Linked DNA regions of Xenopus tropicalis. The protein of the gene in region 1 interacts with the protein of each later gene in a pairwise test. Links are inferred from orthologs where the notes say so. Each region holds a gene or a part of one and is shown in the gene's direction. Other genes may lie near its edges.

Region 1 (4,217 bases):
TCCAGTTGGGGGAAACAATTGATTAAAAAAAAACTCCCCCTCGCCAGCACTGGGCTACCCGCACCAGGAGGGAGCCATGTTGGTCGGCACGAATGCGCATGATAAGCACATGTGCCTGATGTAGGAGTGGTGAATGTAAATTACCCTTCTACGTCACACACATGTGCACAATGAGCGAGTTGCAGCACTCACACTCGCGCATACGTGTGCCCCGACATGGCTACCTGCAGTGGTGACTGTGGTGCAGTGGAAAAACTATTGTTTCCCCTATCCGGAGCATGGGCTCTATTAGGCTGCACCTCAGGTGGGGGAAACAACATAGGGGCAATTGGTGCACTTTAAGGGCTCTGGCCCTTAGTCGCCCGCGACAAATCTCCTGTGTCTCGGGCGACTAATCTCCCCGAAATGCCATCCCACCGCTGCCGTGTATGCTATCCTACCGGCGATTTACATTTTCGCCGGTGGTATGGCAATCTGGGGAGATTAGTCGCCCGCGAACAGGGAGTTTTGTCGCGGGCAACTAATCTCCCCGTGTGCCAGAGCCCTAAGGGCAGTGGCAGACTAAGAGATTAGTTGCCCCGCAACAATACGGCATATGCGTTGCTACGATTTCCCGAACTTGCCCTAAGTACTTTGGGTGAAATCGTAGCGACACGTATGCCATCCCACTGGCGATTTACATTCTTGCCGGTGGGATGGCTTTGCGGGGAGGTTACCCGCGGCAACAAAAATCTGACTAATTTCCCCTTGTGCCACTGCACTAAATCTCAGCTACTGTGGGTAACTAGTCTCCAGGAAATGCCTTTCCACAAAAAGCACTTCCTTTCCCAAAGTTACCTGCAGGAGGCCAAGTATGCCTTCCCACCTTTGGAGCATTGTTTCTCGTTACACACAGGTAACATTACAGACATACTACTCATACAGCACCCACAAGTTGGGCAGCGCTAGAGAGATTGTTTTTCATTCACACCAACTCGTACATAGTGGCGCTTACAATCCAACTTCCCTACCACTTTTAACTAGCGCACAAGCGGGCTGATTACGAACCGATTAACCTGTTCTCGCTAATCAATAATACACGCCAACTAAATAAGGGTACTGAAAGACATACATGTGTTTAATGATCATATAAAGGTACAAAGTCGCAAGCCCTTGTTACGCTTCTGATTACTAAAACAAATACGTCGAATAAAATCCTTTGAATCCTACATATACTCACACCTTCCGAGTAACCTACTCATTTTCTACAGAAATATAAAGAAACCCCGGCTGGCTAAATCAATTAGACGTAAACATAAGAATAGGCGGAGCAAATATTGCACCACGTGGTACACCCTCGCAAATCGTAGTCCAGCTCCCGCTCAGCGAACGTGACGCCGACCTGAAGCGCTGTCAGCCATCTTGGAGCCGGGAGGAGCGCAATTCACCAACAGTCTCTGCAAAATTATTGTAAATTAATTCGGTGGTGCTGTCAACTCGGTAGCCAGCGATACACCAGATCGAGAAATTAAAGCAATCTACGGAAAACCCGTCGCGCTTTTCAAGGTGCAATAAGGCGGTACCGTCTGTAGCAGAAGAAACTGGGCGCGTCGGAAAACATGGTGCAATCGTGCTCGGCTTACGGTTGCAAGAATCGCTACGATAAGGATAAACCCATCTCTTTTCACAAGTGAGTGCATTTTGCGCTTTGCCCGGTAATATTTAGCTGGATAGTATTCTCGGTCCCCTGAAAGCAAGAGACGCATGCGCGAAGCTCGGTGCTTGTTCTAATGCTAGGCGCCTGCCGATACCACGTGGTCAGGGGCTGGGAGTGCGCGGCCTCGCCTTGTGTTACTGTGTGTGAGCTGCATCCAGTTGTTCAAACTTTGAAATAAATGGACCTAAGAAGGGGAAGAGTGATTTTACCTCATTTTTATTTTATCATATAAATATGTGGACTGGTATATTTAACGCTTTTGCCTTTTTTTCTGGTAAAAATTGCCACAATTGTGCATGTTATCTGAGTGAAACTTGTCAGAAAATATTCCCCCTGTACATAGGGTTTATCTGTGAAACAGTTGTATGTTACACAGCCTTCTCCTTCTCCAACATTGACTTGGCAAATTTAAGCTCTCAGTGCCTATGTTAAATAAAAGAAAACCCAAACCCATAAATATTTGTTAATTTAAACAAATAAAAAGTATGTCCTATTCAATAATAATCTTAAAAAGCATTTGCACAAAGTAATGTATCATACTGCTAAAATACCCCTTGGGTATCAAGCCTATTCATAAGTTAAGATAATATCACTTAGGAACATCGCATTCCAGTTAGGGTATGGGTAGGGAAAAAAGGAAAGGGATTTTTTTCTGAATTGTAACACCCTGTTAAAGAGAAATACATATATTTTCCATTATTATATTGTTGCTGTAAAAGTTGCCTTTTATGCAGTAGCATACCTAACCTTGGGTACACTTATTCAACAGCGGCGTAGTCACATGATGGAAAACTCCTCCATTTTGCTTCTCTGGTGGGCCTAGAGGGGTGCATTTCACCCCCTTGTAGTTACGCCACTGCTTTTATGTATGCATCTTCTTTATGGCTAATTAACCAATCATTTAGATCCCTGCTGTTGTCTTGCAGTTGGCCATGGGGGCTATATTCAGCCCTTCAGTATGAGTATGTTGCATTTATTAAAATGTATTGTAGTGTAGTGTGCTCATTACCAACATCAAATCTAACCTGCAGTCCTTTTGATATGTCTGGGTTCAGTGTGAGACCCCTGAAACTTCAGATGTTGCTCAGCAATGCTGTAGACTGTTCTTGATTCTGTGATCAATGTGGCAAGAATCTAATTTAACTGTTAACACTTTTAGCACTGGGATTAAAATGTCTGAATTGAGGAAGCCGCAATTGAAATAATATACTCCATACTTTCTTACTTTGCAATAATTTGTTTTAATGTCTTATTTTAAAATTTAAATTGAATAAATATTTGACTTTTTAAGAACATTGTTAGTACCGTATATACTCGAGTATAAGCCGAGTTTTTCAGCCCTAATAATGTGCTCAAAAAGGCACCCTCGGCTTATACTCGAGTATATACGTTCTCCCGGCCGTGCGCTCGCTTGCTCACACCGCCCAACCCTGGACATATGCGCTCGCATGCTTGCGAGTGTTGACTTACTCTATTTCATTGATCCATCACCTCGGCAGCCATCGGCGCGCAACTTACTCTATTTCATATCCAGCACTGGGCATCCGTCGCAATCGCATGCATCCCCCCGTGCGCGTGACATGTGTGCGCGGATGCCTGGTGCTGGATACGTGCATGCGATCGCGCCCGATTGCTGGAAAGGTACGTGATATGTTGTGCGCGACGAATGCCCGGTTACAGCATGATGGCTGGCGCCCGATGGCTGGCGAGGTGCTGGATCGGTGCTGGATCAATGAAATAGAGTAAGTCAACAGCACAAAAGGGCATTTAAAAGAACTCAGAGTTGCAACATGGGTCAACTACAAGGTAAGGGCATATTAAGTTGTTCGCTTTGATATTTTGAGTTTTGCCACAGAGACAGGCCCTTAGGCAGCAGGGATACACAGACTGACACACATAGACTGTACACAGGCTGACAGCTGCTCACTTTACACCTCCTGCCTCAGACTTAAGGTTCATGATTTTTGGAACATGTCCTCCCTCTTAGGCAATGGTTGACAGTGAATTATTACTAAGAAACCTAATGGGTTAAATAGGAACTGTGATCGATATGTGTTACTATGAGTATAGGATAACGTGTGCACTGCTTTCCAATTTTTGCCTCCTAAAAACAGACACTGATCATTTTCTCCCCTGATATACCTAAAAAGCAGCTGCTCTAAAGTCTTTGCATTACCAGGGCTAATTAAATACAATAATGTTGCACAAACTAAGGTGGCTTAACACAAGCCAGTTTTCTTATGGCCGGTCATTTTGAGTGTTTGAGAGACTGGATATACAGTATGTTGTTTTGTCAAACGCAAGGGTGGTTCTGGATGCTTCTCAGCTGGCCGAAATACACAGGTGGAGAAAATGCCCAATTTATTTATCTATTTTATTAATATATTATTTTCTCATCTGCAATGTTTTCTCTATCTTCCATGATGATGATAGCGTTTTGTGCAGGTGTGTTAAAAGAAATGGATGCCTAGGCTTATACTCGAGTCAATAAGTTTTTCCAATTTTCTTAGGTAAAATTAGG
Region 2 (2,622 bases), on another chromosome or scaffold:
TATTTGGCTTTTATTTGCCTGCACAAATTCAAATTTATGTTCAGCTAATGTAAAATTGTGTTTTCTTTTTGTAGCAGTGGCAACAGTGTTGCTGAAACAAAGATGAAGAAGAAAAGGTAAATTTAAACTTGTTTAAAGCTCTATAGCACCAGGGACTTTAAAGAGATGCTAATATTAGCTGTGTTATTAAACTGTACACCATGTGCAGCAGCCCAGTACACTAAGAGAAGTGCATCCCCTGAGTTTCATAATGCTTTGAATTTTTATTTAAAAAAAAAAAAAAAAAAGTTATATCAAAACTGAAATGTATGTGGCTTTCCCAGCATATCTTCCATTTTACAGAAGGAGAAACACTTTCTGGTGAAAATGGCATTATAGGATGCCGAAGAGGAGATGTTTAACTTTTTTGGTGGAGACCACAATTATGTCAGGGCCCCCTTAGTGTATATCAAGGTTAAAGACACCTGAAAACACTATTGCATGAATATTTAAGACAAAAAATAGGTGATCATCATAAAGACATTTCAGTTGAGCTTCCATAAATATTGAGGAATAGGCATCATCCAAAAATCTCAATTCAGCCTGGACTCCCCATTCATACCTCTGCCGTCTCTGCCCCACAGAGGGCCAGCCACACAGTTGAGGAATGAATTCTCTAGATAAATTCTACCATGTTGATGATTGCTTTTTATTAATTGGGCTTCTTTTGTAAGTAACTGTTACTTGAAGTTCCTAAACCTGACTGTTCTGCTTATCCTGTCAGTTACAGCTTTTAATGCTAACGGACTACTGCTGCACAAATATGGCAGCCCCCCTCAAAGAGGAACATGGGGGATCACATAGCTAATGTAAAAGCATTTAGCAAATATTTTAAGGCAAAATTATAAATAGCATGCAAAGACAATGTTGTTAAAGTGTCCCTTTTAATCATTGAGCAAAGCACTCTTTTAGAGATACTTAGGACATTCACAGTGAACCACCAGGAAATCATTAGCGGGATCTTTATTTATTGGTGGTATTAACATAATTACATTTAAGAGACAGTAACACTAAAACAAAAGCTGCTTAGGAATATGTTTTAGTTTCTATATATTGTTAAAGACTAGGGGAATCTGTTTAGATTAAAAGCATTCCTGCTATGCAATCACATAGTAAGTTCTTGGCAAGGAAATGTAAATGTATAGCATTTTATGCAGGTTCAGTTTGAAAAAAATATTGAATCCTTTACATGCATATTTGTTAATGTTACAATATTTTATAAATACATATAAATATTTTATAAATAGCATAAAAAGAGCTACAGATCTGAACACTATTAATACTGTATATAGCACATTTCTGAATGAAGTGTACTGTACTATTATCAGGTTTTTAAAATATATAAGTTTTTGCCTTTTTTGTTGTGCCAACATGCATTTTTCCCCCTCCAGGTCTAGAAGTGTCACAAGCTCCAGCGGTAGTAGCAGTGGGAGCAGCAGCAGCAGCTCTGATACAGACTCTTCTTCAGACAGTGAAGACACCTCCAGTTCTTCATCATCTTCAGAGGACAGTGACAAGAGCACCTCAAGCTCTTCAACTTCCTTGTCCTCACAAAGTTCATCCTCCTCATCTGAGTGTGACTCTGACACAAGTGCCAGCAGCACCAGCGCAAGCAGCAGTACCAGCAGTGAAGAAGACAGTAGCTCGGAGGATGAGCCTTTGAGAAAGAAAAGAAAGAAATAGAATTCATGAAGAGACCTACTTCAAAGCTTTCTCATGGCGTCCTTATAAAGATTCTACTTTATTCGATTATCAAAAACCTTTTGTTACAGCAATTGGCTAGCGTACATTTAATACAGTTTTACTTGACAAATCCCCAGCTCTGGTTGATTGCTTTTCCGGATCTCAAGTGGCAGATCCTAGTTTCTTCCGTCTCTGAAAGACCAAAAATGCCATGATACTTCCAAGTTACACAAAGATCACCAGAGAATTTAAAGGGCCACTGTAAATTGGTGTATTAGCTATGGAGGCTTATTTTAGTATGTAAATAGGTTCTTTGTACAAACTGTGAAACAATCAATCCACTTCTCTTACATTTTAAAATATAAACAGGGTGCAAACTAGGAACAAATGTTAAATATTTTTTCCTTCACTTGAAAGTGCTGACTGTACTCATGAAGACAATGTCTGTGAGAATATATTTTTCGAGGGCTAAACTAGAGAGAGAGAGAGAGAGAGAGAGAGAGAGAAATATATGTAATAATAATAGGGTAAGTGTTGGACTGTATTGTAGTCCAGCTTGTTATATTTTGTGGAGAGGAAGAAACCACAGACTTGAACTGTTGAAGTTCATTTGTTATGTTCGTTGTGCTGCGAGATTGTAAATAGCATTTCAGTGTTCTGCCAGGTGCCATGACTTCAGACATAGTCATTTGACCACACCCTGGGTGGCAGACTCTGCTAGTTTGAAACTTGATACAGTCACCTTGTGTTATGTTTTGGGTTACTGACAATGTGTGCCTTTTTATTATTTTTTTTAAAGTGACAAAAATCTAGTCTTAAATTCTAAGCTATGTATGGATTTCTTCAGTTTGTTATCAAACGTGACTCTATGATTGGATTCTAAAGTTCTAACAGCAACAA
Region 3 (3,948 bases), on another chromosome or scaffold:
CACACAGTATATACCCCACTAACTGCCCCTTCCACACACAGTATATACCCCACTAACTGCCCCTTCCACACACACAGTATATACCCCACTAACTGCCCCTTCCACACACACAGTATATACCCCACTAACTGCCCCTTCCACACACAGTATATACCCCAATAATTGCCCCCCCACTACCTGTTATACCTTTTTAACTGCCCCGTCCATGTGTTATTTACCCCAAACCTTGGAAACTACCCCCCCCGGGGTAACTATCTCCCGTTGCCCCCCAAGCTTCTGCCCCAACATATTGAGCCCCAGTTTGATCCAAGTGCCCCATCCGCCCCTGGGAAGGGCAGTTTTGTCCCATTCTGCCCCAATTACCCCACCGGCCCGACCTACCCCTCCCCACACGACTCACCTTCAGGACTGGCCTCCCCCATGGTGGTTTCCAGCATCTCCGAGCCCTGATACCCCCTCCGGGGCAGAAACAGACTCCGTCACACGATCGTCTCCGGCCAGGGGATGGAACAGCTCCAACTGCCCCTCCTAGGGGCAAATGTTCAGGCCCTACTGCCCCCCTCACTAACAGAAGTACCCCCCCACCCCGGGGCTTATACCCTGCCACTTGGGCTGCTACCCCTCCCGAACCGCCTGCTCTCCCGTCGCAGGGAACACCAGAGATGTAGTTCAGCCGCCGGCGCAAAGCATTACGGTCCTTGTAGTTCAAGAACCATGGTCACTCCCCAACGAAAAAGCCAAGTTCTCCGAATAAGAACTACAACTCCCAGGAAACCTTGCGCAACTGAGCCCTCCCAGCAGCCCCCGCGCTTAGCTATTAATCAGCACAGAAAGGGAGGGGCGTGAAGCGCATGCGCATTAGGGACCGAGGCGTCGTGATGCATGCTGGGAAATGTAGTTTGCGTCCTCTACCCGCTGTTGGGCGTGACCAGCGCCGTAAGTTTTGTCCCGCCCTTGGCGCTAGCGGAAAGCGCTGTCTGTGGGAAGTGCGTGGTGCGACAACGTAACGGCAATTTGCAGAGTCTTGTGATTGGCCCCTGTGGGCCTGTCAGAGAGGCGTCTCCTAGTTAGTCCCGCCCCGCAAGTGCGTCATTCCGTCACACGCCGCTCTGGGGAGCTGCTGGGATTCGTGGGCGGTAGAGGCCGCAGCGGGTAGTACGGGAGGCCGGGGCTTGGGGTTGCGCTAGGCCGCAGGATGGCGGAGACTAAAGTCATTTACCATCTGGACGAGGAGGAGACCCCGTACCTGGTGAAGGTTCCGGTCCCGGCCAATGAGATCCGCCTGCGGGACTTCAAGGCTGCGCTGGGCCGGGGCCACGCCAAATATTTCTTCAAGGCCATGGACCAGGACTTCGGGTACGCCCCTCCCCTGTGGCCCCTGGGGGTCATGCCCCGCCCCTTCAGGCCTGCCCTCCTGCTGCTTCTTCTGCAGCCCTAATGTCTACCTGATAACTGCCCCACTAACTGCCCCTACTACTGATATTTACCCCTCAGCCCTAATGTCTGCCTGATAACTGCCCCACTAACTGCCCCTACTACTGATATTTACCCCTCAGCCCTAATGTCTGCCTGATAACTGCCCCCAGTAACTGCCCCCAGTAACTGCCCCCAGTAACTGCCCCCAGTAACTGCCCCCACTACTGATATTTACCCCTCAGCCCTAATGTCTGCCTGATAACTGCCCCACTAACTGCCCCTACTACTGATATTTACCCCTCAGCCCTAATGTCTGCCTGATAACTGCCCCCAGTAACTGCCCCCAGTAACTGCCCCCAGTAACTGCCCCCACTACTGATATTTACCCCTCAGCCCTAATGTCTGCCTGATAACTGCCCCACTAACTGCCCCTACTACTGATATTTACCCCTCAGCCCTAATGTCTGCCTGATAACTGCCCCACTAACTGCCCCCTGCTACTGTTATTTACCCCTCACCCCTAATGTCTGCCTGATAACTGCCCCACTAACTGCCCCTACTACTGATATTTACCCCTCAGCCCTAATGTCTGCCTGATAACTGCCCCACTAACTGCCCCACTAACTGCCCCTACTACTGATATTTACCCCTCAGCCCTAATGTCTGCCTGATAACTGCCCCACTAACTGCCCCTACTACTGATATTTACCCCTCAGCCCTAATGTCTGCCTGATAACTGCCCCACTAACTGCCCCTACTACTGATATTTACCCCTCAGCCCTAATGTCTGCCTGATAACTGCCCCACTAACTGCCCCCACTACTGATATTTACCCCCTCACCCCTAATGTCTGCCTGATAACTGCCCCACTAACTGCCCCCACTACTGATATTTACCCCTCAGCCCTAATGTCTGCCTGATAACTGCCCCAGTAACTGCCCCTACTACTGATATTTACCTCTCAGCCCTAATGTCTGCCTGATAACTGCCCCAGTAACTGCCCCCTGCTACTGTTATTTACCCCTCACCCCTAATGTCTGCCTGATAACTGCCCCAGTAACTGCCCCTACTACTGATATTTACCCCTCAGCCCTAATGTCTGCCTGATAACTGCCCCACTAACTGCCCCCACTACTGATATTTACCCCTCAGCCCTAATGTCTGCCCCACTAACTGCCCCTCTAACTGCCCCTACTACTGATATTTACCCCTCAGCCCTAATGTCTGCCCCACTAACTGCCCCTACTACTGATATTTACCCCTCACCCCTAATATCTGCCTGATAACTGCCCCAGTAACTGCCCCTACTACTGTTATTTACCCCTCAGCCCTAATGTCTGCCCCACTAACTGCCCCCACTACTGATAATTACCCCTCAGCCCTAATGTCTGCCTGATAATTGCCCCCACTAACTGCCCCACTAACTGCCCCTACAACTGATATTTACCCCTCACCCCTAATGTCTGCCTGATAACTGCCCCAGTAACTGCCCCCTGCTACTGTTATTTACCCCTCACCCCTAATGTCTGCCTGATAACTGCCCCCACTAACTGCCCCAGTAACTGCCCCTACTACTGATATTTACCCCTCACCCCTAATGTCTGCCTGATAACTGCCCCAGTAACTGCCCCCTGCTACTGATATTTACCCCTCAGCCCTAATGTCTGCCTGATAACTGCCCCACTAACTGCCCCCACTACTGTTATTTACCCCTCAGCCCTAATGTCTGCCTGATAACTGCCCCACTAACTGCCCCTACTACTGATATTTACCCCTCAGCCCTAATGTCTGCCTGATAACTGCCCCACTAACTGCCCCTACTACTGATATTTACCCCCTCACCCCTAATGTCTGCCTGATAACTGCCCCCAGTAACTGCCCCCAGTAACTGCCCCCAGTAACTGCCCCCAGTAACTGCCCCCAGTAACTGCCCCCAGTAACTGCCCCCAGTAACTGCCCCCAGTAACTGCCCCAGTAACTGCCCCCACTACTGTTATTTACCCCTCAGCCCTCAGCCCTAATGTCTGCCTGATAACTGCCCCACTAACTGCCCCTACTACTGATATTTACCCCCTCACCCCTAATGTCTGCCTGATAACTGCCCCAGTAACTGCCCCCAGTAACTGCCCCCAGTAACTGCCCCCAGTAACTGCCCCCAGTAACTGCCCCCAGTAACTGCCCCCAGTAACTGCCCCCACTACTGTTATTTACCCCTCAGCCCTAATGTCTGCCTGATAACTGCCCCACTAACTGCCCCTACTACTGATATTTACCCCTCAGCCCTAATGTCTGCCTGATAACTGCCCCAGTAACTGCCCACTGCCCCTACTACTGTTATGTACCCCCTCAGCCCTAATGTCTGCCTCATAACTGCCCCTACCAATGTTATGTACCCCCTCAGTCCTAATATCTGGTACAGCTTATTGTGTGCCCAGAACATTCCCTCTCTGTATATTTGTATTTATACATATGGGTAGGAGGTGCCATAGTGTTTCCCTTAGACAGTACAGTATGGGGGTACAGCTTATTGTG
Region 4 (3,500 bases), on another chromosome or scaffold:
CCCAAGGGAAATATCAGAAGACCAAAGTGTAAATTTGATTCTGACTCAGAGGAAGGAGAAATTTCGGATTCGGAGGAATTTTTACCAGTAGATGACATAGGAGCCTTAATTGCGACCAGCCACAAGGACCCTATTAACAAGGGCAAGGTCACTTCTAAATTTGCCATTGCCAAGTGGATAAAGCTTGCGATTTCTATTGCATATTCTTCTTCAGGAAGACCAGTTCCAGTGGATCTCAGAGCACATTCTACAAGGGCAGTGTCTGCTTCGCAGGCAGAACTTGGAGGCGACTTTTGCAGACCATTACCGTGTAAATATGAGTACTCCTGGGGAAGTGGCTTTTGCAAATACAGTTCTCCTTTCTGGTTGTAAAGTTTCCCCCCTTGATTACTGCTACTCAACTCTCTAAGTAAGTGCTGCCAAGGGACGTGAAGGAAACAAAGAATTTATACTCACGTAAATTCCTTTTCCCTCAGTCCCGAAGGCAGCACAATATTCCTCCCTTAGTAAATAATTTAGCAGCATTGTGTTGTGTTTTATTGCTTGAGAAATCACTGAAGGTTGGTGGAGGGAAGAGGTTTTTTGGGTAAAGGGGGCGGAATAATTTATTTGGAGAAGGTAGTGTTTTTCCTACCCTAGGTATGACATCTCTCTAAGTAAGTGCTGCCTTCGGGACTGAGAAAAAGGAATTTACGTGAGTATAAATTCTTTATTTTTGCTTATCATCATCCATGTATATCGGGTATGTGGGGCAAGGAATTCGTTATCTCGAAATTTGGAACCATATATGGCAAACAGCATGAGGAAATCATATATGATATGCATTTCCCATAAAGTGGAGATCCAAATTACATGATTTGCAACATAGCGCCTCCAATCAAAAAAAAAAAAAACTAATGGAAATAAAAAACTTAAAGGTCACTCCAATACTGATAACAGCAGTTGTTCATTTAGGCCCCTAGGACACCCACAAAAAAATCTACTTTGCTTACAGAATCACTTAAGTTGTTCAACCTGCTCAGTGCGGATCTAATAGAACACCTATGGTTACTCCTTCTTTTGTGATAGGTTGTCATTCTTGCCAGTGTATCGAGACCCTATGCCATATAGACCACAAATGTACTCATGCAGCAAAGTCTGTGGCATAAATTGTATTTGATATCAATGTGTGGATGGAATATCTGTGTCCTTCAACCATGTTATAGAAATATTCCCTGTATTTCAGACGCACTCTAGCTGATATAATTATGGAAAAGATCACAGAGAAGCAAACAGAGGTAGAAACTATGATGTCAGAGGTCTCTGGACGGCCAATGCCACAGTTGGACCCCCGGGTACTTGAGGTTTATAAAGGGGTAAAAGAGGTGAGAATAATATTTAATATTTTTGGTCCCTCCAAATGAATGCAGCTCAGCAAAGAATATGATCAGTGATCAGCTGTTAAAGGGGTAGTTCACCTCCACTACACTTTTTCAGTTCATTTCAGATAGCCCAGCAGAACTACTTTTCTTTCTATAGTATACATTTATAATATATAAATATAATGTATACACTATAATGTATACATTTCGCAGCAGTATCTGGAATTTTTTACAGGGTTTTTTTTTACAGGGTTGATATAATAAAAGCTGCAGGGTTTGCATCAGGCTGACCAGCCAGTAGGTAGCAACTACTGATATCTTGTTTGAAAGCAACAATGTGATTGGTTGTTTTTGGTTACTAGACCTAGTACACAAGCTGAAAACATTCATACATACTTAATGTTCTCTTTCGTTCTTTTAAGACTAAGTTAATTCTCATGGGAAACATTATTTTAGGAGACTGAGCGGAGAACAGTAATAGGCACTACTATATGCTAGTAAGACAACTGATGTGGAAATTCTTTTGCCTGGATCTCTTTCTACCTCTCTATTTTATCATGTAAAATGCCCTTGTGGTTGGGATTATTAATAGATTACCATAAAGGGGGCAAAATGTGACTTGCATCTAACCAACTATGTGTTGTACCAAATATCATACATTTGGGTGTGTATTTGGTGACTCAACTAAATTTATGAAGTGCTAATATATATATTTCCTTGGCTAAGTAATAAAAAAAATCTTGCACAGGTAAATGGAGTGTTTGTTTGGCCCTGGAGGCTTTAACTAAAGCATGTTCAGCAAGTTGAAAATTATTACATTCTCTGGCCATTGTTTGTGTTTAGAATTATTCACAAATGTTATAATGCTTAAAATATAATATTCAGCTAACTAGTGACCACCTATCAAGGGTCATTGGATGAACCCATTTGTTGAACAATCGAATCATATACTCAGAACAGCCCAGGAACTGTTAATACACCACATGTGCTAAAGTTTTTTCTTGTGTTGACTAAGCTGTACATAAATGCTAATTTTTTTTAAATGCTAATGTTATTAATTACCTATTTATGTTGTCTGAGGAACATGTTTTTGCTAATACTCTCTGTGACTTCACCTTTTAGGTCCTGTCTTCTTATCGTAGTGGAAAGCTGCCAAAAGCTTTTAAAATAGTTCCTGCTCTCTCAAATTGGGAGCAGATTCTGTACATTACAGAGCCTGAAACTTGGACAGCTGCAGCTATGTACCAGGCTACCAGGTGGGACTTATATCAGTTACAGAGACTAAAAAGATCCATGGTTTGTCTTTGAAATAATTTGGAGCAGCATTATGTAAAGAAGCACAAATGATCATTTTGGTGATATAACTATTATTTTCATTATAATTATTAGGGATGCACTGAACCCACTTTTTTGGGTTCGGCCGAACCTCCGAACTCTTATTGGCATATGCTGATTAGGATCGGAAGGGTTAAACATTTAACCCTTTCCAAATTCTAATTAGCATATGCTAATTAGGATTCGCAGATCTGTCCGAAAACGAATCCTTAAAAAAACGCCGGGATTCGGTGCATCCCTAATAATTATTGTGCTGGCATTTACACAGTTCTTTAGGGCTTTTACACATTGAGAGTTCCACCCTGAGGTGGAACTCAGGAGAAATCCACTGCACGCTGTATCCACCCACTGAATGCAGGGTAAAAGCCCTTACAGAGAACATTCACTTCAGTCCCGCCCTTATAGTTTACAATCTAAGGTTCCTAATGTACTTTCACACACATTATGGGCAATAATATCAGGAGCCATTTAACTTGCTTGTATATATTTTTTTTTGTTGTGGAGGGAACCAAAATAACCAGAAAATAACCTGAGGCAGTGCCTCAGACAGGAAAAAAACATCCTTTTTACTCACCAGAATCAATATATTAAAGAAAATTAAGACATAATTTGCAAAAGCTACTAACAAAATGCCTACCTATCCATATACTGCAGTATTTTTAAGCTGTCCAACTATGCCATCCCTGGTTTGGACTGTATTGCCCTTCTGGTTAAGAATTCTAGTATTTCATTATGCATTTATTTGGGACTTCATTTTTATTTGCAACTTACCCCGCATCACCTGGCAGAAGTTGGGAATGAAGA
Region 5 (4,081 bases), on another chromosome or scaffold:
CCCCAGTAATTACAAATGCTAGCTTGATGCCTGGGCTGGTGCTCCTTTTCACTAAAAACTGCAATGGTCTGGGGGAATTTCATTCTATGTTTTTATCCTCCAGGTTTCTGGTCTGGGTGTGCATGTTAATGAAAAAGCCAAACTTGGAAGAATAGAGCTGGCTTTTCCTATCCTGCCCAGATCAGAAGATGCGATAGAAGAAGTTGGCAACAAAAGTACCCCAGACCAGTGAAGTTAATCTGGAGAACACCATATAGTACATAACCACCATATTGACAAAATGAATTAATGTTTTTGTGAATCTGACAATCTCCAGTTTAATGCCAATAATATTTCTTCCTCCCATTTCAGTTTATTCCACTTTTGTGAATTATTTCCCTGGAGAAAAACTGCTATCTGCTACATTGTTTCAGGATACATAATATATATCACTATACATAACACAGTTGATAATATGGTGTTTGTTTCCACACAAGAAACAACTTCCCCTTTGAGACTCACTTGCCATCTAGACACAAGCAGGAGCATTATGTGCATTATGTGAGTCCAAGAGGGTTTTACCATTCAAGATCTCTGACAGAACCTGTGTCTGTGCCACAACACATTAGCATTTGTTAAGTTTTCTTCACAGTGACAACAGTGGAAGTATCATGCATGTTGGTATGATAGGTGCCCACAGTGCACCGCTATTAAAAACATTGCAATGCAATACCAGGTGTTTTCACTGCCAGTGCAGTGTTGGACTGGCCCACCAGGAAATCTCCCGGTGGGCCCAAGTGTAAGTGGGCCCTCTTGCTCTGTTCTGTTCACACAGTAGTGTTTAATGCAAAGACAGAAGAAAATAGGATGTGAGATTAAGATTCCCATAGACAGACACTATGTAGTGACAACTAATTTTTTCTGTTTTCTACACCCTGATTTTGAGGAACAAAGATGCTACAGAGTCCAGGAACTGAAGACCATATAGACTTCTAGAAGTGGTTTATTAATGTTTTTCCAAACCTTCAGCCTTTCAATCTCTTTTCTCTTAAGTCACAAATCATACCAGAGTGGCCCATCACCTAGCCAGTTTCCCACTGACCTGTCACACCTAGCCTATAACATACTATAGGACAGGCCCCCTATACGCAGCATGCAAGTGGACCCCTAGACTCGGTGTCACAATAGCCATTGATTCAACAACTGAACGCTGCGCATAATCTTCTACAAAATCAATCTATCCCACTTTAAAAAATGCCAAAGCACGACCTTCAGATAGCCAGCACCAGGAGCGACCGCTTGCGCATGCGCGCCCGGGCATGTCGGTCCCTATGAAAAAGCATCAAAACACTTGGGTCAGACTCCTCAACCTTTCATGGCTGTCACCCCCGGGCACCGCCCGGTTCCACCGCCCTCAAGAAACTGCACTGGCATTTAGATCCAAGCAAATCAACGTCACGCGTGGGATGGGCTTGGAGCATCAAAAATGGCGGCCGCATCTAGCGGTTGATAAGGTACGCAGTTACTGAAAAGAACCTATATGATATGTATTTAATATGCATGCGTCTTATGAGGTGATTTTGTAAATGTGGACATTGGAAATATTTAACGTTTATGTTAGGCTTTAGTTCTGTCAATGTGAACTGGTGTAACCTGTTATCGGTACTCTAGTGCAATGCTTGCCATCTGCAGAGAGGCCAGGCTTTTCATTTGTCCCTGCATGAATACTGCTGATTGAGCTTCAGTCAGACCTCATCAAGTTGTCATGGCATGAGCTTATGGGGGCACTCATTCTCCACTGGCTCTTGACTCCCATTCCTGAAGACAGGTGGGCCACTCAGATCCCGTCCAGTGTGGGGAAGGCACTGGGCACGGAGTGGCCATCTGGAGAAACTTTATGGGTTATTGAGAACTGCGTATCTATTGCACGTCCTAAGTACATAGAAGAAGTGTATTATTCGGTGGGGCTATGGACGTGACTCATTTAAATTCCTACGCATCTTACTTTGTTGCCTTATTGTCCAAATCTTTTTATCGATAAATATTTTCCTTTGTACTACCTTTCTACATATTGAGTATTCAGTATGACACAACAATAGAGTTTAATTTGCTACACAATATTATTTTATTTTGCTATTGATTTGGCCCTTTATATTTATTTTTTTATAATGCTTACCGTTGTGTAGATAATCTATTTACATTATTTAAATTATTTAAACTTTTTTTTCCTGCAGTTTTCAGTTAGGCATTTAAAGTTATAGCACAGACTGTAGCTTGTCACTGTGTACCCCCTCTATCCACAACGTCGGTGCTCATGCACGTGCCCACCCATACCCATACATTGGCAAGCAAGGCAGCCTAGGGCGCCTGGCCGGCTTGGTCCGTTCCTGCTTATTTCTTTCAGTCTTGGATTACACAATCACAGCAAGCAGGCAGGTGCCGTTTTGGATCATCACATATGTTGTTTATGTACCAGAATGGGGGACCTAATGGCCATGCACTGGCTGCACAATTAGATGGTGAGGAGGAAGGGGGAATGTGAGGGGTGCAGTGCAAAAATAAGCTTAAAACTAACATACCTGCAGCAAACTTTGTAAAGGTAACTACATGACACCCAGATTATTTGTTGCGTCTATAAACCATGTCATTAAAAAGAGCTATCTGTTAAAGAAAACTTATTAGTGCTGGTAGTTCACTCAACAATGTTTTTCCAGACAAAAAAAACTTTCTTTTTCTGAGTATACCATATGCTAAACACCCCAAAATAATCTAAAACCAGTAAGTATATTTATGTAAGGCAATTGTACAATTACACAAGCAAAGTATCTATTGGGAGGCTTTAAAGGAGAAGGAAAGGCTAATAAAGAGTTAATCTCAAGCTGCAGGCTTACCTTCAGTTGTCTCAATAGTGTACTTAAGTTTCCCCATACTTTTCCCATTCAGATGATCAGAAGCCTCATAGGAAACAAAAAAAAAAACAAAAAGCTGAGCTCTGTATAGAAAATTCCAATAATGCAATGCACCTGCACCAAGACCTGAGTACATGCACAGTTAATAAGACTATGAGGAAGCTTCCTGCTGATTGGCTCAGATCACAAATTCCTAAGGGGGGGGGGGCTGGAGTTGTTAGCATTCTTGAGGGAGGGGAGAGCAGGAGGGGGAGAGAGGAGAGAGCTGCACAGACTCTGACATAGGAAAACAAAGATACAAAAAATCCTGTTTCTCAGTGCAGCGTTTCAGTGAGTGCTTATGGCTGTATTTACATAGACATCTCTGTGAGGCTACATTTTTTATATTGTTTTGTTACTTTTTATTACTTTTATTATCTTTATATTCAAACCCTTTTCTTATTCATCTTCCATTTTATTAATAATGCCGCCTGGTTGTTGGGTTTAAATAGATCCCAGCAAGCATATAGCTTCTAAATTTCTGAAGTGGAGGTTTGCTGAAAGAAAAAGTTAAACAATTCATAAACCATAAAAAATGAAAATTATCTTAAAATATCACTATCTATATTACCCTACCCAATAAGGGCCCACAGATTGGATAGAACATGTTCTTGTAACATTAGCTCCCCCTTTCAATATAGTATAACTGATTTTTATCTCAGTGTATTTATTACATGTTAATATGTACAGTGGTGTGAAAAACTATTTGCCCCCTTCCTGATTTCTTATTCTTTTGCATGTTTGTCACACAAAATGTTTCTGATCATCAAACACATTTAACTATTAGTCAAAGATAACACAAGTAAACACAAAATGCAGTTTTTAAATGAGGGTTTTTATTATTTAGGGAGAATAAAAATCCAAACCTACATGGCCCTGTGTGAAAAAGTAATTGCCCCCTGAACCTAATAACTGGTTGGGCCACCCTTAGCAGCAATAACTGCAATCAAGCGTTTGCGATAACTTGCAACGAGTCTTTTACAGCGCTCTGGAGGAATTTTGGCCCACTCATCTTTGCAGAATTGTTGTAATTCAGCTTTATTTGAGGGTTTTCTAGCATGAACCGCCTTTTTAAGGTCATGCCACAACATCTCAATAGGATTCAGGTCAGGACTTTGACTAGGCCACTCCAAAGTCTTCATTTTGTTTTTCTT
Region 6 (3,956 bases), on another chromosome or scaffold:
CACACAAGCATGAAAACATTTTTTGGGGGATGCCAAATAAAGGTGGCCATACACGAGCAGATCTGCTCGCTTGGCGATGTCGCCAAGCGAGCGGATCTTCCCCCGATATCCCCACCTACGGGTGGGCGATATCGGGGACCATTTAGGTAAAAAAAATAATAATCCGATCGTTTGGCCCTGGGGCCAAACGATCGGATTATGTGGGCGGCAATGGGGCAGTCGGATCGGGGACCGCATCAGATCCGACCAGATTTTCTAACCTGGCCGATCGAGAATCTGGCCAATTTCAGGCCAGATATCGGTCGGCCAGGCCGCTCTGCTCTCCCCATACACGGGCCGATTAGCTGCCGAATCGGTCCAAGGGACCGATACCGGCAGCTATAGTCGGCCCGTGTATGGCCACCTTTAGAACTGTGATTGGCTATTTGTCAGCCTGCAGGATTATCTGATTGGAGTAAAAATATGTCTCTGTTCTTCCAAAATATGCCCCCAGGGCAGAAATGTAAAAATTGGCACCTACTTTGAGGCCCCTGGGAGCAACATGTTGCCCACAAGCCACTGGTTGGGGATCACTGCTCTAGAACAAGCTGGCCTGAGATTGTTTATTTATTGCAATTAGGTGTACATATATGAATTGGAAATTAATTTGTGATATGTGACAAATATGAATTTTAAATGATTAATAAAATCTGACTTCTCTATAGTTAGACTCCTGGCAGCTATAGTAGTGACAGTTAAGTAATAGGTAGAACTGGGATGGGGAATCATTTTAAAAAGTGGGTTTTTACATTTGCTTTTTCTCATCTGCATCAGACAGGGGACTGAATGAACCAAGAGGATAATTTATATAATTTCATGCAAAAGGTAGGATCCTTATCATTATTGCCATTCAGGCCTCCATCACAAATACGATGTATTATCTGGGACCAACTACAATGAGAATACATGTGCTTACTGAAGAGTAACATTAGATTATAATAATGAGAATACATGTGCTTACCGAAGAGTAATATTAGATTATAACAATGAGAATACATGTGCCTAACTGAAGAGTAATATTAGATTATTGGGCCCAGGCGGCATATAATAATCGGAACGTACTAAATATCGGAGAGTGACATTGGTCATGTTGTTAGATACCCGCAGCCAGTGTTTGAGTTTGGCGCTCTTTGCCAAAGGACTGAGTGAGCCAAAGCCATTCTGTCCCCTCCTTATTCCCCTCCCCTCTCAGTCAGAGCATCCATCCTACAGCAGCCCGGCCGCCTCGCTTCTCCTCACTGCAGCCGCCGAACCTCCTCGGACATGTCTCTCCCCAAGATCTCCTCATCCTCAGCCATCCAGATCAGCAGGTAAGCCTCCCCCAGCGGCACCTATCCCACTGCCCGCTCCCGGGTGTACATGGCACTAGGCGGGCCGCGGTTAGGGGCCAGGCCGCCAGTCCCTGCTGTGTCACCGCACACGTGTATTATGTGCCGGGCTGTCTGGCCGGGACCCCTCCCTGTGCCGGCTCCCTAACAGCAGGCTGCCATGTACCTATGTAGCGCTATACCAGCCCTGTGTCTGTAGCGAGTAAAGCCCTGCGCAGCTGGGGCTGGGGGAACCCTAGTTCCTACCTGCAGGTGGGAGGTTACTGCTCTGGGAGTGGGCGGGGAATATACACCGTACCCACCTTTGCTTCATTGCGGAAGTGCTTGTGTTGCCCTTTGGGGGATATGGTGCATGTACTGCTGCAATGCATGCACTGCCCTTTGGGGGATATGGTACATGTACTGCTGCAATGCATGCACTGCCCTTTGGGGGATATGGTACATGTACTGCTGCAATGCATGCACTGCCCATTGGGGGATATGGTACATGTACTGCTGCAATGCATGCACTGCCCATTGGGGGATATGGTACATGTACTGCTGCAAGGCATGCACTGCCTTTTGTGGGATATGGTACATGTTCTACTGCAAGGCATGCACTGCCTTTTGTGGGATATGGTACATGTTCTACTGCAAGGCATGCACTGCCCTTTGGGGGATATGGTACATGTACTGCTGCAATGCATGCACTGCCCTTTGTGGGATATGGTACATGTTCTGCTGCAAGGCATGCACTTCCCTTTGGGGGATATCGTACATGTTCTACTGCAAGGCATGCACTGCCCTTTGGGGGATATGGTACATGTACTGCTGCAATGCATGCACTGCCCTTTGTGGGATATGGTACATGTTCTGCTGCAAGGCATGCACTGCCCTTTGGGGGATATCGTACATGTTCTACTGCAATGCATGCACTGCCCTTTGGGGGATATGGTACATGTACTGCTGCAATGCATGCACTGCCCATTGGGGGATATGGTACATGTACTGCTGCAATGCATGCACTGCCCATTGGGGGATATGGTACATGTACTGCTGCAAGGCATGCACTGCCTTTTGTGGGATATGGTACATGTTCTACTGCAAGGCATGCACTGCCTTTTGTGTGATATGGTACATGTTCTACTGCAAGGCATGCACTGCCCTTTGGGGGATATGGTACATGTACTGCTGCAATGCATGCACTGCCCTTTGTGGGATATGGTACATGTTCTGCTGCAAGGCATGCACTTCCCTTTGGGGGATATCGTACATGTTCTACTGCAAGGCATGCACTGCCCTTTGGGGGATATGGTACATGTACTGCTGCAATGCATGCACTGCCCTTTGTGGGATATGGTACATGTTCTGCTGCAAGGCATGCACTGCCCTTTGGGGGATATCGTACATGTTCTACTGCAATGCATGCACTGCCCTTTATGGGATATGGTACATGTTCTGCTGCAAGGCATGCACTGCCCTTTGTGGGATATGGTACATGTACTGCTGCAATGCATGCACTGCCTTTTGTGGGATATGGTACATGTTCTGCTGCAAGGCATGCATTGCCCTTGTGGTATATGGTACATGTACTGCTGCAAGGCATGCACTGCCTTTTGTGGGATATGGTACATGTTCTGCTGCAAGGCATGCATTGCCCTTTGTGGGATATGGTACATGTTCTGCTGCAATGCATGCACTGCCCTTTGTGGGATATGGTACATGTTCTGCTGCAATGCATGCACTGCCCTTTGTGGGATATGGTACATGTTCTGCTGCAAGGCATGCACTGCCCTTTGGGGGATATGGTACATGTACTGCTGCAATGCATGCACTGCCTTTTCTGGGATACGTTACATGTTCTGCTGCAAGGCATTCACTGCCCTTTGTGGGATATGGTACATGTACTGCTGCAATGCATGCACTGCCCTTTGGAGGATATGGTACATGTACTGCTGCAATGCATGCACTGCCCTTTGGGGGATATGGTACATGTTCTGCTGCAAGGCATGCACTGCCCTTTGTGGGATATGGTACATGTACTGCTGCAATGCATGCACTGCCCTTTGTGGGATATGGTACATGTACTGCTGCAATACATGTACTGCCCTTTGGAGGATAGGGGAACCAGAGACCTTCCTCGCACACCCTTAGCTCTCCAACTTAGATTATGAGCCCGGTGCACACTGCTGGGGGGATCGGCACCCTCCAAAAATCCAAAGTAACCACAAATGCAATGGCACTCAGAGCTGTAATAGGGACAAGCCCTTAAGTTCAAACTTTATTGCGGTAGTGCAACGTTTCGGGGCAAAGTGACCCCTTTTTCAAGCTTTGGGGGATATGGTACAAGTACTGCTGCAATGCATGCACTGCCCTTTGTGGAATATGGTACATGTTCTGCTGCAATGCATGCACTGCCCTTTGTGGGATATGGTACATGTTCTACTGCAATGCATGCACTGCCCTTTGGGGGATATGGTACATGTTATGCTGGAATGCATGCTTTGCCCTTTGGGGGATATGGTACATGTTCTGCTGCAACTGCAAGGCATTCACTGCCCTTTGTGGGATATGGTACATGTTCTGCTGCAAGGCATGCACTGCCCTTTG
Region 7 (3,500 bases), on another chromosome or scaffold:
TCTTAGTTATTTTAACGAATACAGATGAAATTAAATTTGTGGGAGAAAAACATGTTTTTTTTTAACCTTTGGCTGCATGAAGAGCTCACCAAAACAAATCCCACCACCACTCCTTGAAATATGTGTCATACCATATATACACAAGTATAAGCCGATCCGAATATAAGCCGAGGTACCTAATTTTATCTAAGAAAACTGGAAAAACTTATTAACTCGAGTATAAGCCTAGGGTGGGAAATGCAGCAGCTACTGCTAAGTTTCAATAATCAAAATAAATGCCAATAAAATTACATTAATTGAGGCATCAGTGGGGTATATGTTTTTAAATATTTATTTCAAAGAAAAACCATAAACTAGCTCTGTAAGTGGAGAAGAGGGTCCACAAAAACAATATGAGTACTACCCCATGCTCATTGCGCATTGGCAAACTGACAGCAGACCCAGTCCCGGGGGACACATAAGGGGAAATAAGTATTGCGACAGGGGGCAGCCAGGGCACTGGACGGTTTGGTTGCAGGTGGCCTAATTTGCTCACAAAGGACAGAGGGTTCTAGTCTGGGGGCACCCATGGCACCCAACTCGAGTATAAGCTGAGGGTGATTTTTTTCAGCACGTTTTGGATGCTGAAAAACTAGGCTTATATTTCAATATATTGACTACTTTTAGCATTTTCAACCCTTTACTAAGGGTCTTGTACCTCTTCATGCTAAATATGTATTATTTATAATATGGTAGTGGTTACATGTTAATATTATAGTTGCTCAAATGGATTAGTTATTCTACAGCCTTTTATCAGTACACCTTTGTTTAACTATTCATGAAGCTTGTGCTAATGAAAGATTGTTTTTCTCTTAGGTGTATTCATTCTGAACTTGGTATGCCGTGATGCAGTTTTGAGATTAAAGGTGCTGAATGTTCTCCGTGAAATTTTCCCTTTGATTTATGCCCAGAAGATTGATGAAGAAGTCAATGAGATCTTGTTTTGCTGTGCAAATTCAGAAAGGAAACTCAGCTCTTTAGAGCTAAAAGAACTGGCAATGAACTTGGAGAAAAAACTTAAAAAGCCCGGGGTTCAATGGGACAGCACTTACAGTCTGGCTGAGATGCTGAAGTCCGTTCAGATAGTTTAAAAAACTATATTTGGAAATTTTCTTACAAAAAATTGCAGCAGGGGCTGGCCCAGGGATAATTTAAAAATGATACTGCACACATCCACATGTTAATGAAGCCCTTGCTTCTAGATTAGGTGCGGTCAACTGGGCTACCTAGGCATACCCACAATGTGTTACACATAAACTTTACCAAATTGTGTTTAAACATACCTGTATGTGTTTATAAAGAACCAAGTATATTTTCTTCAGTGAAATGTTGGATAACAAATCAAAAATGAACATTACAAATACAAAATGGTCCATCTAAAAGTTCCTGGTCTTCAAGGAAGATACATGCTATTAAAGTGCCTGTCCTATTATAAAAAAAAATCTCTGCCTTGTTCTAGGATAACATCTGGTGAGAGGTTTTTGTGTCTTTTAATTGTTTGCCTTTCTGTTCTCTGGCCTCTTCTAACCTAGATTACAAATGATGCTGGGTTTTTAGTTGTTATTAAATTCAGGCACTTTCGTAAAATTTGTGCCCATTTAAATGAACTCCTAGTTTGAGACTAGAAAATTGTATTCTAATCGAATTTTTTATGCTGCTTTATGGTTTTTAAATCATTACTTTTTTGCAGCTTTGCTGTACTGAGTGATAGTTTTTTTTTTTAAAGGAAATATTTTTCCCAATATTAGAAAATATGTCTTCTTCCTATAATATTTAATGTTGAAATGATGGGCTTACCCAATCCTTGGTTCAGAGCAGACTGCAGCAGCAGGATAGTTAGTGAGGGAAGAGTGGAGTTAAATGCTACTGCACCTGCCTGGGCTTTTCTAAGTCAAGCTAATTCTACTGGCTGCAAAGCACTTAACCCTGTGCTGTGTGTTTTCTTTCCCTGCTGATGATTTCTGCTAAAGCAAAGTGTAAAAAAAGGTCACCCTTTTCTCAAGAGGGGTAGGGCAAATTTTAAATGTATGTTTTCTCCTACCAGGACATCCCTTTTAAACTGGTTCTTTTCCACCCATTCTGCTCATGTATAGACCTAAGGTAGCACCAGGCGTTAAAGTGATACTGAAACCAAAACATTTCTTTTAAAAATATGAACCTACTTCCAAACCTAGATCATGTTGACTGTTTTTTCCTAAAAGTCCTGTTTCTCTACATAAATCCTACTGAAGATCCTGAACCCGACTGGCAGCCCGACTGTAGCTTCTCAATCTGTCATAAACTGGGAGGATTCAGCTTGCCGTTTGCTTCAAAGAGTTCCCCCTTCCTCCCTCGCTCCTCGCATTGTGAACTAAATAGCAGGCAGGCTTGATCTTTCCATTGCCTGCCTGCCTGCTTCAGAGGGCTGCCCCCCCTTTCTGCTCTTCGCACAAAGAATTTAAATAGCTTTCCCGTGCCTGCCTGCTTCTAAGGGCTCTTCCTCCCCCTTCCCATTACACATAGACAACAGAGCTGAGCTTGTCACACACCGGCTGAAAGCATATTTATTCACTTGGGAGGCATTTAAATTAAAACCTGAAAGAGGGGAACAAACATGGCTGCTCCGTGGGCCTGTAATTCATGCTACCATAATTATGAAGCGAAAAAACTTTGCAGATTTAGTTTATAAGGAATTTAAAGCTGATACATATTAAAACACAACAGAAGGTGTAAAAAAATGTTAATTGGCTGTCAGTATCACTTTAATACCCAGAGCTGATTGGTTTTCATTGATTGTAGCAACTCATATATGGCTACAATAGGCTAAATGGTGCAAGGATGAACATTGTATGTATGTATGTATGTATATATATATATATATATATATATACACTGCAAATTGGGCATGTTTTGCTGAAAGCCTTTTTAAAAAAAAATCTCCCCCACACTATACATGATTAAAAGAAGTTAGCACTTTGCTAGCAGAGTTATGTGTGAAACTGGAGACTAACCAAAAAGTCAGAGCTTTGCTAAGGAACTTTGGTACCCTGGTCAAGGGTGCAAACCTGCAAACCACTTTACTCATTTCTGGAAGAGTTATTTGCAATCATACCAGATTACACTGGAAGGATTAGAAAGACCTATACCTATATGGCTGCCCACAATGTACCTTCTCTCTTTGGCAGAGCTGATGCTCTATTTTGTTCCTTCAGGTGCCAATTCCCAGGTAGCACTGAGCCAGGCTGTAACAGAAACATGCCTATGAGTATAGGGATTGTGACTACTAGGGCAGGTGGTACTTCCTAAGGACCTTTTGTGTGTCACATGCATTTAATTTCTTATTTAGGTTTTTTAATATAGCAATTCAGCCAGCGTAAATTTATCTCCAGTGAGGAATGGAGCATCTCAATATTGGTATTAAATGATGTGTCCTTGAAAATGCCTAGTAATTCATAAAACTTGCTGTTGCAATAAACTCCACA

What was found.
Region 2: the proteins of thap1 (region 1) and zcchc10 interact in binary tests that used the Homo sapiens proteins (3 or more experiments, as listed by UniProt). The two-hybrid records come from large-scale screens. The link is inferred for Xenopus tropicalis from reciprocal best matches to the Homo sapiens genes THAP1 and ZCCHC10.
Region 3: the proteins of thap1 (region 1) and dvl2 interact in a two-hybrid assay, tested with the Homo sapiens proteins (2 studies listed by BioGRID and IntAct). The two-hybrid records come from large-scale screens. The link is inferred for Xenopus tropicalis from reciprocal best matches to the Homo sapiens genes THAP1 and DVL2.
Region 4: the proteins of thap1 (region 1) and bysl interact in binary tests that used the Homo sapiens proteins (3 or more experiments, as listed by UniProt). The two-hybrid records come from large-scale screens. The link is inferred for Xenopus tropicalis from reciprocal best matches to the Homo sapiens genes THAP1 and BYSL.
Region 5: the proteins of thap1 (region 1) and phf1 interact in binary tests that used the Homo sapiens proteins (3 or more experiments, as listed by UniProt). The two-hybrid records come from large-scale screens. The link is inferred for Xenopus tropicalis from reciprocal best matches to the Homo sapiens genes THAP1 and PHF1.
Region 6: the proteins of thap1 (region 1) and acot7 interact in binary tests that used the Homo sapiens proteins (3 or more experiments, as listed by UniProt). The two-hybrid records come from large-scale screens. The link is inferred for Xenopus tropicalis from reciprocal best matches to the Homo sapiens genes THAP1 and ACOT7.
Region 7: the proteins of thap1 (region 1) and eef1aknmt interact in binary tests that used the Homo sapiens proteins (3 or more experiments, as listed by UniProt). The two-hybrid records come from large-scale screens. The link is inferred for Xenopus tropicalis from reciprocal best matches to the Homo sapiens genes THAP1 and METTL13.

The regions. Positions count from the first base shown.
Region 1 is NC_030677.2:112,770,179-112,774,395, reverse strand, and holds the start of thap1 (THAP domain-containing protein 1), read left to right. Parts: upstream 1-1,417; 5' UTR 1,418-1,598; coding exon 1,599-1,669; intron 1,670-2,443; exon of another isoform or gene 2,444-2,515; intron 2,516-4,217. UniProt on the Homo sapiens protein: DNA-binding transcription regulator that regulates endothelial cell proliferation and G1/S cell-cycle progression.
Region 2 is NC_030679.2:37,651,999-37,654,620, forward strand, and holds part of zcchc10 (zinc finger CCHC domain-containing protein 10), read left to right. Parts: intron 1-74; coding exon 75-116; intron 117-1,430; coding exon 1,431-1,722; 3' UTR 1,723-2,622.
Region 3 is NC_030679.2:153,301,354-153,305,301, reverse strand, and holds the start of dvl2 (segment polarity protein dishevelled homolog DVL-2), read left to right. Parts: upstream 1-1,148; 5' UTR 1,149-1,195; coding exon 1,196-1,356; intron 1,357-3,948. Other genes in the region: phf23 (PHD finger protein 23A), read right to left, coding at 401-437.
Region 4 is NC_030678.2:70,754,085-70,757,584, reverse strand, and holds part of bysl (bystin), read left to right. Parts: intron 1-1,225; coding exon 1,226-1,364; intron 1,365-2,483; coding exon 2,484-2,617; intron 2,618-3,500. UniProt on the Homo sapiens protein: Required for processing of 20S pre-rRNA precursor and biogenesis of 40S ribosomal subunits. May be required for trophinin-dependent regulation of cell adhesion during implantation of human embryos.
Region 5 is NC_030684.2:71,995,233-71,999,313, reverse strand, and holds the start of phf1 (PHD finger protein 1), read left to right. Parts: upstream 1-1,281; 5' UTR 1,282-1,493; intron 1,494-4,081. UniProt on the Homo sapiens protein: Polycomb group (PcG) that specifically binds histone H3 trimethylated at 'Lys-36' (H3K36me3) and recruits the PRC2 complex. Involved in DNA damage response and is recruited at double-strand breaks (DSBs).
Region 6 is NC_030683.2:98,993,487-98,997,442, reverse strand, and holds the start of acot7 (cytosolic acyl coenzyme A thioester hydrolase), read left to right. Parts: upstream 1-1,156; 5' UTR 1,157-1,302; coding exon 1,303-1,349; intron 1,350-3,956. UniProt on the Homo sapiens protein: Catalyzes the hydrolysis of acyl-CoAs into free fatty acids and coenzyme A (CoASH), regulating their respective intracellular levels.
Region 7 is NC_030680.2:107,473,013-107,476,512, reverse strand, and holds part of eef1aknmt (methyltransferase-like protein 13), read left to right. Parts: intron 1-855; coding exon 856-1,130; 3' UTR 1,131-3,500. UniProt on the Homo sapiens protein: Dual methyltransferase that catalyzes methylation of elongation factor 1-alpha (EEF1A1 and EEF1A2) at two different positions, and is therefore involved in the regulation of mRNA translation.